2 linked regions of the Oryctolagus cuniculus genome follow. The protein of the gene in region 2 purifies or fractionates together with the protein of the main gene of each other region. This does not show direct contact. Links are inferred from orthologs where the notes say so. Each region holds a gene or a part of one and is shown on either strand. Other genes may lie near its edges. The genes, in order: PTPN11 and SLAMF1.

What was found.
Region 1: the proteins of SLAMF1 (region 2) and PTPN11 purify together in Homo sapiens (affinity purification with western blotting; 3 studies listed by BioGRID and IntAct, with this or other methods). This does not show direct contact. The link is inferred for Oryctolagus cuniculus from reciprocal best matches to the Homo sapiens genes SLAMF1 and PTPN11.

Annotation. Positions count from the first base shown.
Region 1 is NC_091452.1:9,792,510-9,796,319, reverse strand, and holds part of PTPN11 (tyrosine-protein phosphatase non-receptor type 11), read right to left. Parts: intron 3,176-3,810; coding exon 3,044-3,175; intron 1,718-3,043; coding exon 1,551-1,717; intron 233-1,550; coding exon 165-232; intron 1-164. UniProt on the Homo sapiens protein: Acts downstream of various receptor and cytoplasmic protein tyrosine kinases to participate in the signal transduction from the cell surface to the nucleus. Positively regulates MAPK signal transduction pathway. Dephosphorylates GAB1, ARHGAP35 and EGFR.
Region 2 is NC_091438.1:38,255,954-38,260,364, reverse strand, and holds the start of SLAMF1 (signaling lymphocytic activation molecule), read right to left. Parts: upstream 2,834-4,411; 5' UTR 2,691-2,833; coding exon 2,615-2,690; intron 1-2,614.

The sequences.
Region 1 (3,810 bases), on a different chromosome or scaffold from region 2:
GGCCAAAAGCTCACACAGCACAACTTCCGTTCTCACGTGAACTGAAAGCAGAAGTGCCAGCCCGTTTCCGTGAGACGCTTTCACATTCGAATTCCCTTCCCCAGCGCCTTCCTTCCAGGAACTAACAGCCGGAGCTGCAGCTTCTGGCCCTCCGGGAGACCTACCTTTTTCTCTGATGATGTCAATAAGGATATCAATCACAATAAACGTCCCTGTCCGGCCGATTCCAGCACTGTGGGCAGAAGGACAAGACGCAGGGAGAGTGGAATCACTCACGGGAGTTTTATACCCAAAAACCAAGCTATTAATATTAACAGAAACAATATCTGCTCTTGGGAGTACTTATAACATAGTATGTTTATATCTGAAGATATATTAGCAACGAACACAGAGCTTTGCCATCAGCCAACCAGGGCTTAAAGCCCAACTTCTCCAGTACCGTGTGCCTGAGGCAAGCCCTGCAGTGTCCCCTCCTGTGCAATGGGGACAACAGCAATGCTTCACAGACTACGGTGAGGATAAGACATAATAATGGAGGGGGGCCGGCGCTGTGGCGTAGCAGGTAGCACTGAGCCTGCAGTGCCGGCATCCCATATGGGTGCCAGTTCGAGTCCCGGCTGCTCCACTTCCAATCCAGCTCTCTGCTGTGGCCTGGAAGATGGTCCAAGTCCTTGGGCCCCTGCACCCATGTGGGAGACGAGGAAGAAGTTCCTGGCTCCTGGCTTCAGATCAGCGCAACTCCCGCCCTTGCAACCATTTGGGGAGTGAACCAGCAGATGCAAGATCTCTCTCTCTCCGCCTCTGCTACTCTGTAACTCTGCCTCTCAAATAAATAATTTTTTTTAAAAAATAATAATGTAGGAAAAGCACTTAATTCAGAGGTTAGGACAATAAATGGCAGTTTTTTAAAAAACAGAACAAGTAAGTCCTCTCACACATCTACTTGTCCAACACACAAATGAGATTAGGAAATCAGACTTCCCCAAGTACAATCACGAAGCGCAGACTTGGATACCAGCAGCCAGCACATTCTGGTGCAGGGCTCGGCTTCCATCAAAGGCCTCGGCACGAAGCAGTTGGAATCTTTTGAAGCAAATAAGCACAAGGACAGGGTCGGGGAAAATACGTGAGGGGACATCAAAAAGTTTGTGGGAAGTGGAGCTAAAAGATAAGTTTCCTTGGGTGCAAAGAAAAATTGTGAAATCTACACACAGCATTTTAGAACATGCATTTTCCACTAACTCGGTGAACACCCTTCATCTCTTACTTCCTCAGCGGAAGAGAACAGAATCACAAAGAGATGGACCCTAAATTACTGGATTTCAAAAGAAAACGTAGTCAGAAGCACTAGACGGGGCGTCGGTGAGAACAAGGGCTGTGTCCAGCCCGCCCACCAGCCCGACCCCGCAGTCCTGCAGGGTCTGTAGGAAGCGAGCATCCCTACTGCAGCCTGTTCAGGCCTTAAGCACAGGTAAACTGCCAGGGATGGCCGGTGAAAGCAGCCCTGGGGGGCAGGCACAGGCTGCGGCAGGAGGGGCAGGGGCTGTCACCTGCAGTGAACCACGACCGGGCCGGCGTCCATGATGCTCTCCTGCTTGTGGTGGACCTCCTCCAGGAAGTCCAGCACGCCCCCGGGGTCGCTGGGCACGCCGTGGTCCGGCCAGGTCCGAAAGTGGTATTGCCAGACCGTTCTCTCCGTATTCCCCTGGAGTAGAGCCAAGAAAAACCAGAACCGAATTAAATAAATCAAGGGGTGGAGGAGCCGCCCGGTTCTGAGCTTTCCCACCTGCTACGGAAGTCACCGGTGCTGGCGGGCCCAGCGGCGCTCAGTCGCCACCTAAAGGCCCACTTGAGTCTCCAGGGCGCTCCCGTGCCAAGAAGCCAAGCAGACAGACTTTGGGAGTCGGGTGGGGAGGTTTAGGCTCAAACCCCAGATATTCACACTCACTCCAGCCCTTGGGCAGCTCTGAGCCTCAATGTCTCCATGTGCAAAATGTGAAGAATCACCTCTCTCTCGCCGCCTCTCTATACCACTGTGGGGACGGACAGCTCAGCGGCACACTGCCACTGGCCAGCACCCGAGGGCTGATCTGAGGACAGGGATCGCAAACAGAGACAGCGAAGGCCCCGAGACTGCAGGAGACAAGGGGGATTATGTCTGTGCTCAGCCCAGCCCAGGTCACTGCAGTGGCACTAGTCATGGCTACCCAGTCCCTGCATATCTGGGGACAACCCAAGGCAAGCGACAATTACAAAGGTAGCTGCCAAGCAGAAATGAGAGACCGAGGTGCCGGAGACGCTTATCTTCGGTTCTGTTGACAAATGCCCCATCTTCTCATCACCACGGGTTTCTGAGTAGCTGTCAGGACACCCCCCACACCCCCCGCCACCTCCCCGCGTAGCTCCTTTGCAGTAGCACACTGGCCCAGGAGTTTGGCACCCTGGGTGCAGGTGCTGATGGAAGACTGCTGGTTTCTCCTGAATCCTGGTAATGTGGTTTCTATTTTGTACAGAATTTTATATTTTCTCTAAAGCACTGCCATGCAACATCACATAAGCTCCACCCTGCCCAGGAAGGAAGAATTAGGGCAGAGACCTTGTTGACCGTTTTCCAAGGTGCAGGGCGTGGACATGCAGCCACTCTGGGGGCAGGTCTCTCACTCCCTGACAGTGGAGCTGCCTGGTTTAGGGGCCACCCTGGAACATCAGCTCTGAGAGAGACCTGCCCCACGGACTCCATCTCAAGGCCCCAGTCACTCAGGAACACACCAACCACCCTGGGCCCCTACAGACTGAACTCAGGGAGCTCAATTTACTCTAAATGTCCTTTCTCCCCAGGCACTGGGAGGGCACAGCCATGCCTGTCTCGTTCACATGCACCAGGAGTGCCTGACTGTGCTTGGCACACAGAAGGTATCCCAACAACGGCTACTTAATCAATGTGTGAAGCCAGGCAGGAGTGCACGCACACAAGCGTAGCTGCAGGACCCTGGACCACTGCACACCACGAGCCCCGGCCTCTAAAATACGACAATATACTTACTTGTCCGACCTTCGAAAGTTTAAGTTCTCTTAAGGTATAGTCATGAGCGGCACTTTCTTTGACGTTCCTAACACGCATGACACCGTATTCTTTTAGAGCATACTCATCGGGCCAGTATTTGACACATTTACTCTGGAAGGGACCAGAGAAAAGACAGTTAACCTCCGTGAGCTCCCAACAAAAGCCTAGGCTGGCAGCAAACAGTCTAACAGGGAAATGGCACGTCTGGCTTCTTCGTGTGGCTCAACAGTTAACTCACGACCTGGGACAAGCGCAGCCCCTGTCAGAGCTGGGTGCCAGCCCTGGCTACTCTGCTTCCTGGAAATTCAGCTTCCTGCTAACACAAGAAGGCTGATGCTGGGAGGCAGTAGATTACAGCTCAAGTCCTTGGGCTCTGCCACCCATGTGAGAGACCCGGACTTGAGTTCCGGGTTCCTGGCTTTAGCATGACCCAGCCTTGACTGTTGCAGGCATTTGTGGCGTCAAATGGGGATGGAGGACTTCTCTCCCTCACACACACACACTCACTCTCTCTTACTCTCTCTGCCTTTGAAACAAAATGAAAATAAATAGATAAAAATATAAGGAAGGAAGGGCTCAAAGAAGAAAAGCAGGTGCTGGGCCGGCGCCACAGCTCAATAGGCTAATCCTCCGCCTGTGGCACCAGCACCCCAGGTTCTAGTCCTGGTCAGGGCGCTGGATTCTGTCCCGGTTGCCCCTCTTCCAGGCTAGCTCTCTGCTGTGGCCCGGGAGTGCAGTGGAGGATG
Region 2 (4,411 bases):
TGCTATACTTCCGTGTAATTCAATCCAACTCACACAGTTCAATTATAGAACGCATATTCTAACTTATACCATGAGAGCTGGATGCAAATTTCAGCATCATCCCCGCTTTCCAGGCATAATGTTCTCCAGTTTCATTCATTGAGATCTCCGGTGTCAGGTTGTATGAGCATGGAGAAACTGTTAAATTACTCCATACCTCTCCTCCCTTTTTTATAAATTTGTAATGGTAATAATGATAATACATCTCATAGCATTGGTGTGAGACGTAAATGACAGATACACACAAAGCACTTAGAACAGTGCCCGGTACATAGCAAATATGAAATGTGTACTAACATTCTTCTTTCAACAAACATTTCTGGATGCACTTTCACATACAAACAACTGTGCCAGGGGCTAGGCAGTGGCTGTGATCATTCTATTTGCTTTCTCCACACTTTGTACAATGCTTACCATATCATGTTTTCTTAATAGATAGCTGCTTAAAAGATATCACCCAAAGTCCATCTATGGATAAAACCAAAATGTCCTGGTGTTCTGATTTCCACTCCAGTCCTGGAGTTAGTTTAGATGTCACAGTAGGAAAGCTTTTGGGAACTACAAGCACCTAGATCAACATCCTGGAATACAATGGACCATTAAACACACAAGGTCAGGTCAAGGCTAGAACTGTATGCTTGCTTCTCACCTCTTAGCCCCTGTATGTGAAGAGGATGAGGAAGTCCTGCATGGAAAAAGGAAAAAATCTTTTTTGGGTTTATCAAGTTTAACAAATGTACCACCATAGTAGGAGGTATGGATAACAGAAGAGGCTCTGTCTGTGTGGGGCAGAGGGTTTTAGGAAACCTCTGCCTTCTGCTACATTTGCTGTCAACCTAAACCTGCTCTAAAAATAAAATCTTCTAAGAAAAATTTCCTTGGTGGGAGCTGGGAAGGGGACATGTGAATTTTTAGGCTTTTATGATTTTGACTGGGAATTGGAAGTTGAGCTGAGCAGAGATGGAAAGGAGAGTGTTGCTGATTTTACAAGAATCAAACCTTGGTTGGGTAAATCTGTCATGACTGACCTGTCCCATTTGCAAAGTGTTTCCGTCTGGGTTTTATTGGGGTTTCACAAAAGGGTGCATATTTGAAGAGAAAGACTGAAAAAATTTTGTATACATTTCAGAAGATGGAACACAAGTGAAGGAGCAGCAGCCAATTGAGCAGACACGCCTTCTGGGGCTGGGCCATTTCTCCCTCACCAACTACCTCCAGAGCCGCTGTAAGCTGTATGAGAAATACCTTGAGCTGGACTGACCAGTGTAACTGACTTGACCATTCAAATAAGCATGGAGACAGAAAATCCAACCGCTAGGACAATCCATCATTCCTTACAGTCACACACAAGCATGCCAAAAACCTAAGTCACAAATGAGGTACAACAAGGGAAGCTTGGCTCTCCCTGTGATCACTCTAAGTGGTCCAGTGTGGCCTTCTGAGCCCTGTGTTCAGTTGTCCCTTTTCTAGATCCCACAAGTAAGAACTCTGATTTTGTTGATTCTGCAAGAGAGTGAGGCCATGGAAAGGCCTCTTTACCTGGGAGACTGGCACGAGGTAGATCCCACACACGGCTTCCCTGCATCCCTCATAGATCCCGGGGCTTTTCCTGCCAAAGTCTATGATGGATCTGTGGTCTTGAAAACCCCAAAAACACCCTGGGCCTCAGGGTTTCCCCCTGCCCCTTTCTCTAATGCCTCCTCTATTCCAGGTTGCCTCCCAAAGTCTAACTTAAGTCGCAGGGGTGTAGGCAGGAGATCCTTCTCCTCCTCATGCCAACAGCCTAATGTCTATTTTCTTGTTTGGCATTTTTTTTTTTTAATCTCAAGCCCTGAAACTACTAAGCAGAAAAAAATAGTTTGCCTTGAGAGGCAGACAAGCCCAGCTCCAAAGTTTCAGCTGCCATCTGGCTCTACTGCTGAAGCCACTCTGACCCTGAGGGCTTTCAATTTGCATTTCCCACATACTGTAACCAGCCTTGGGTTCAGAAATCCCAATATTACCCCCTTCTGTTGCTTTGGAAGCTTCTCTTCCAAGAAAGTAGCCACCAGTATGACCACACTGAGGCCACTGTTTTTGTTCTCAACCAAAGGCCTGGGGTTTTCACTTCTTACCCTTTCTTCTCACTGTAGCCCTTGCTTTTTGTTGGGCCAGATTCTGGTTTGTGTGCTTGTATATGTAAGCATTCAGACAAATCATATCCTAGGGATCTGTCCCCCAAAGCCTGGGTCTTGCCGAAGGGTAGTCATGCAAAATCAACCCGCTTGGATAGGACCCCGGTGAGAACCTCTTGTGATGAGAGGCTGGTTTTGAGTGTGACAGATGCCTTTGGCTAGGAGCTCCTGGTTTCCTTGGAAACTAGGGTTGATGAGGTTAAGGCAGGGAACCCAAGGGCCCAGGAACTCATAATGGTCCTTCCTCCTTAAAGAGGCAGTCAAAACTCACAGCCAGTCCCTAAGGAAGAGGCAGCTGACCCACAGTCCCCAGCCCCTATGCCTTCTCTCCATCCACAAGGCTATGCTGGTCCCCAGCAGCTAGCTGTGGGACTCAAACCCCTAAACAGAAGAACACTCACCCGCTACGTAGCTCAGTCCAAAAGCCAGGGACAGGACCAGCAGGAGGCTCCAGGAGAAGTACCCCTTGGTATCCATCAGCCAGCGAGGAGAGGGAAGGGGGCCTGGCCGGGAGCCCGGCGGCCGCTCGCAGGCACGGCAGCAGAAGCGGGCTGCGTGTCAGCAGTGCTGCCTCTGCTGTCTAGTTTACACATCAGCAGCCAGCAGGTTCCTGAACTAGCTTCCTGTCTCACTTGGGACTTTTTCTGCCTGTGTCTCGAGGATTGCTCATCTCTCTTCAGGCCTGAAGTCACTTTTTGTTCTCAAGAAACACGTACGAGTCAGGCACTTACATTACTGGAGCCGGGAAAAGGGTTGTGTAGTCATCCCGGCCAAACCCCCGAGTGGGGTTGAAATGGGCTCCCTTCCTACTCTCCTTCGCTGTCTCCAGGAAATGGATGTCATGACTTCTCTGAGCAGTTCCCTCTGACAACTCTTCTAAGAGTGCAAAGAAAAGAGGGAGTTTCGTCAAGCCAAGCCTCAAATGTGCCAGCTCCAAGCTCAACTTAGATGACTGAATTTTATTGAACTGATAGAACTCTTCCTATGCATTTGCCCTATAATCTCAGAGAACACTTCTGCCTGCACTCCAGCCCTGGTGCCACAGGCACAGAGAGGTGGGGTGGGGGGTGGGGGTGTGGATTTCTTGGCAGAAATCCAGTTTCCCTGTGGATACAATGTGCTGGAATATAGTGAGCCCTGTGCCATGCTTTGGGGAGTTACCTTTATTTTGGAATGTGTGGCTTTTCATTGAAGAGAAATGGCTAGAATTGGTGGAGGAGACCCTGTGCTGTTCTGAGTTGAGCTATGAGAATAGAACACGGGAAGACGCTGTTACCACCAGTGCTCTCAAGGAGGCTTTGGAAGGCCAGGTCAGCATAATTGGAACCCACCTTAAAGGTCAAAGACACTCTCCTATTGGCCTCTCCAAGGGGATCAGGGTGATAAGAATTGGTTATATGTGGGAACTTGCTCTTTATTCTCACCGTTCCCCTTCCTTCTTCACCCAGTAGCCAACCATGGTTCCCACAGCACGACACTCTATCTTGCGATAGAGCCAGTACAGATCAACTCATGAAAGCCAATTATTATATTTTCAGGAAACTGTGAGCTGATTGATAAACACGGCCATTATTAAGATACATGTATTTACACAAACTTACACTGAATAAATTATGTTTAAAATGGAGGGAATAAAACCCTCTAATTACTCAATACTTACTAATTATTTTATGAAGTTACTATTGTTAAAGCTAGTGTCTCTTTGTGGTGGAAGTAAGTTACTAGGTCATGGATGCTGCTGCGACTCTCTTCCCAGCTCTTCATTCAACGACATCATGTTGGGAGCCTGGAATCAGACATGGGGATTTATACCATGGAAATCAGTAAACAATATAAGCCGGAGCTTTCATTTATTATAATACTGTCTAGATGTGAAAAGTGACAGGGAAACATGTGCCGTGACTATAGCCCTTATGTTGAAGATGATGTAAAAAAAAAAAAAAACAGGGAAAATATTTTCTTAGTATTCAAAAACTGTCATCTGATTTGTCAGTGTCACTAATGAACAAGTGATGTTCCAACACATTTCTTTATTGTCTCACATTTCTTTAACTTAAAAAAGGACATTTTGGAGCCTGTGCCATGTCACACTAGGTTAATCCTCTGTCATATGGGTGCCTGTTCTAGTCCTGGTTGCTCCTCTTCCAGTCCAGCTCTCTGCTGTGGCCAGGGAGTGCAGTGGAGGATGGCCCAAGTGC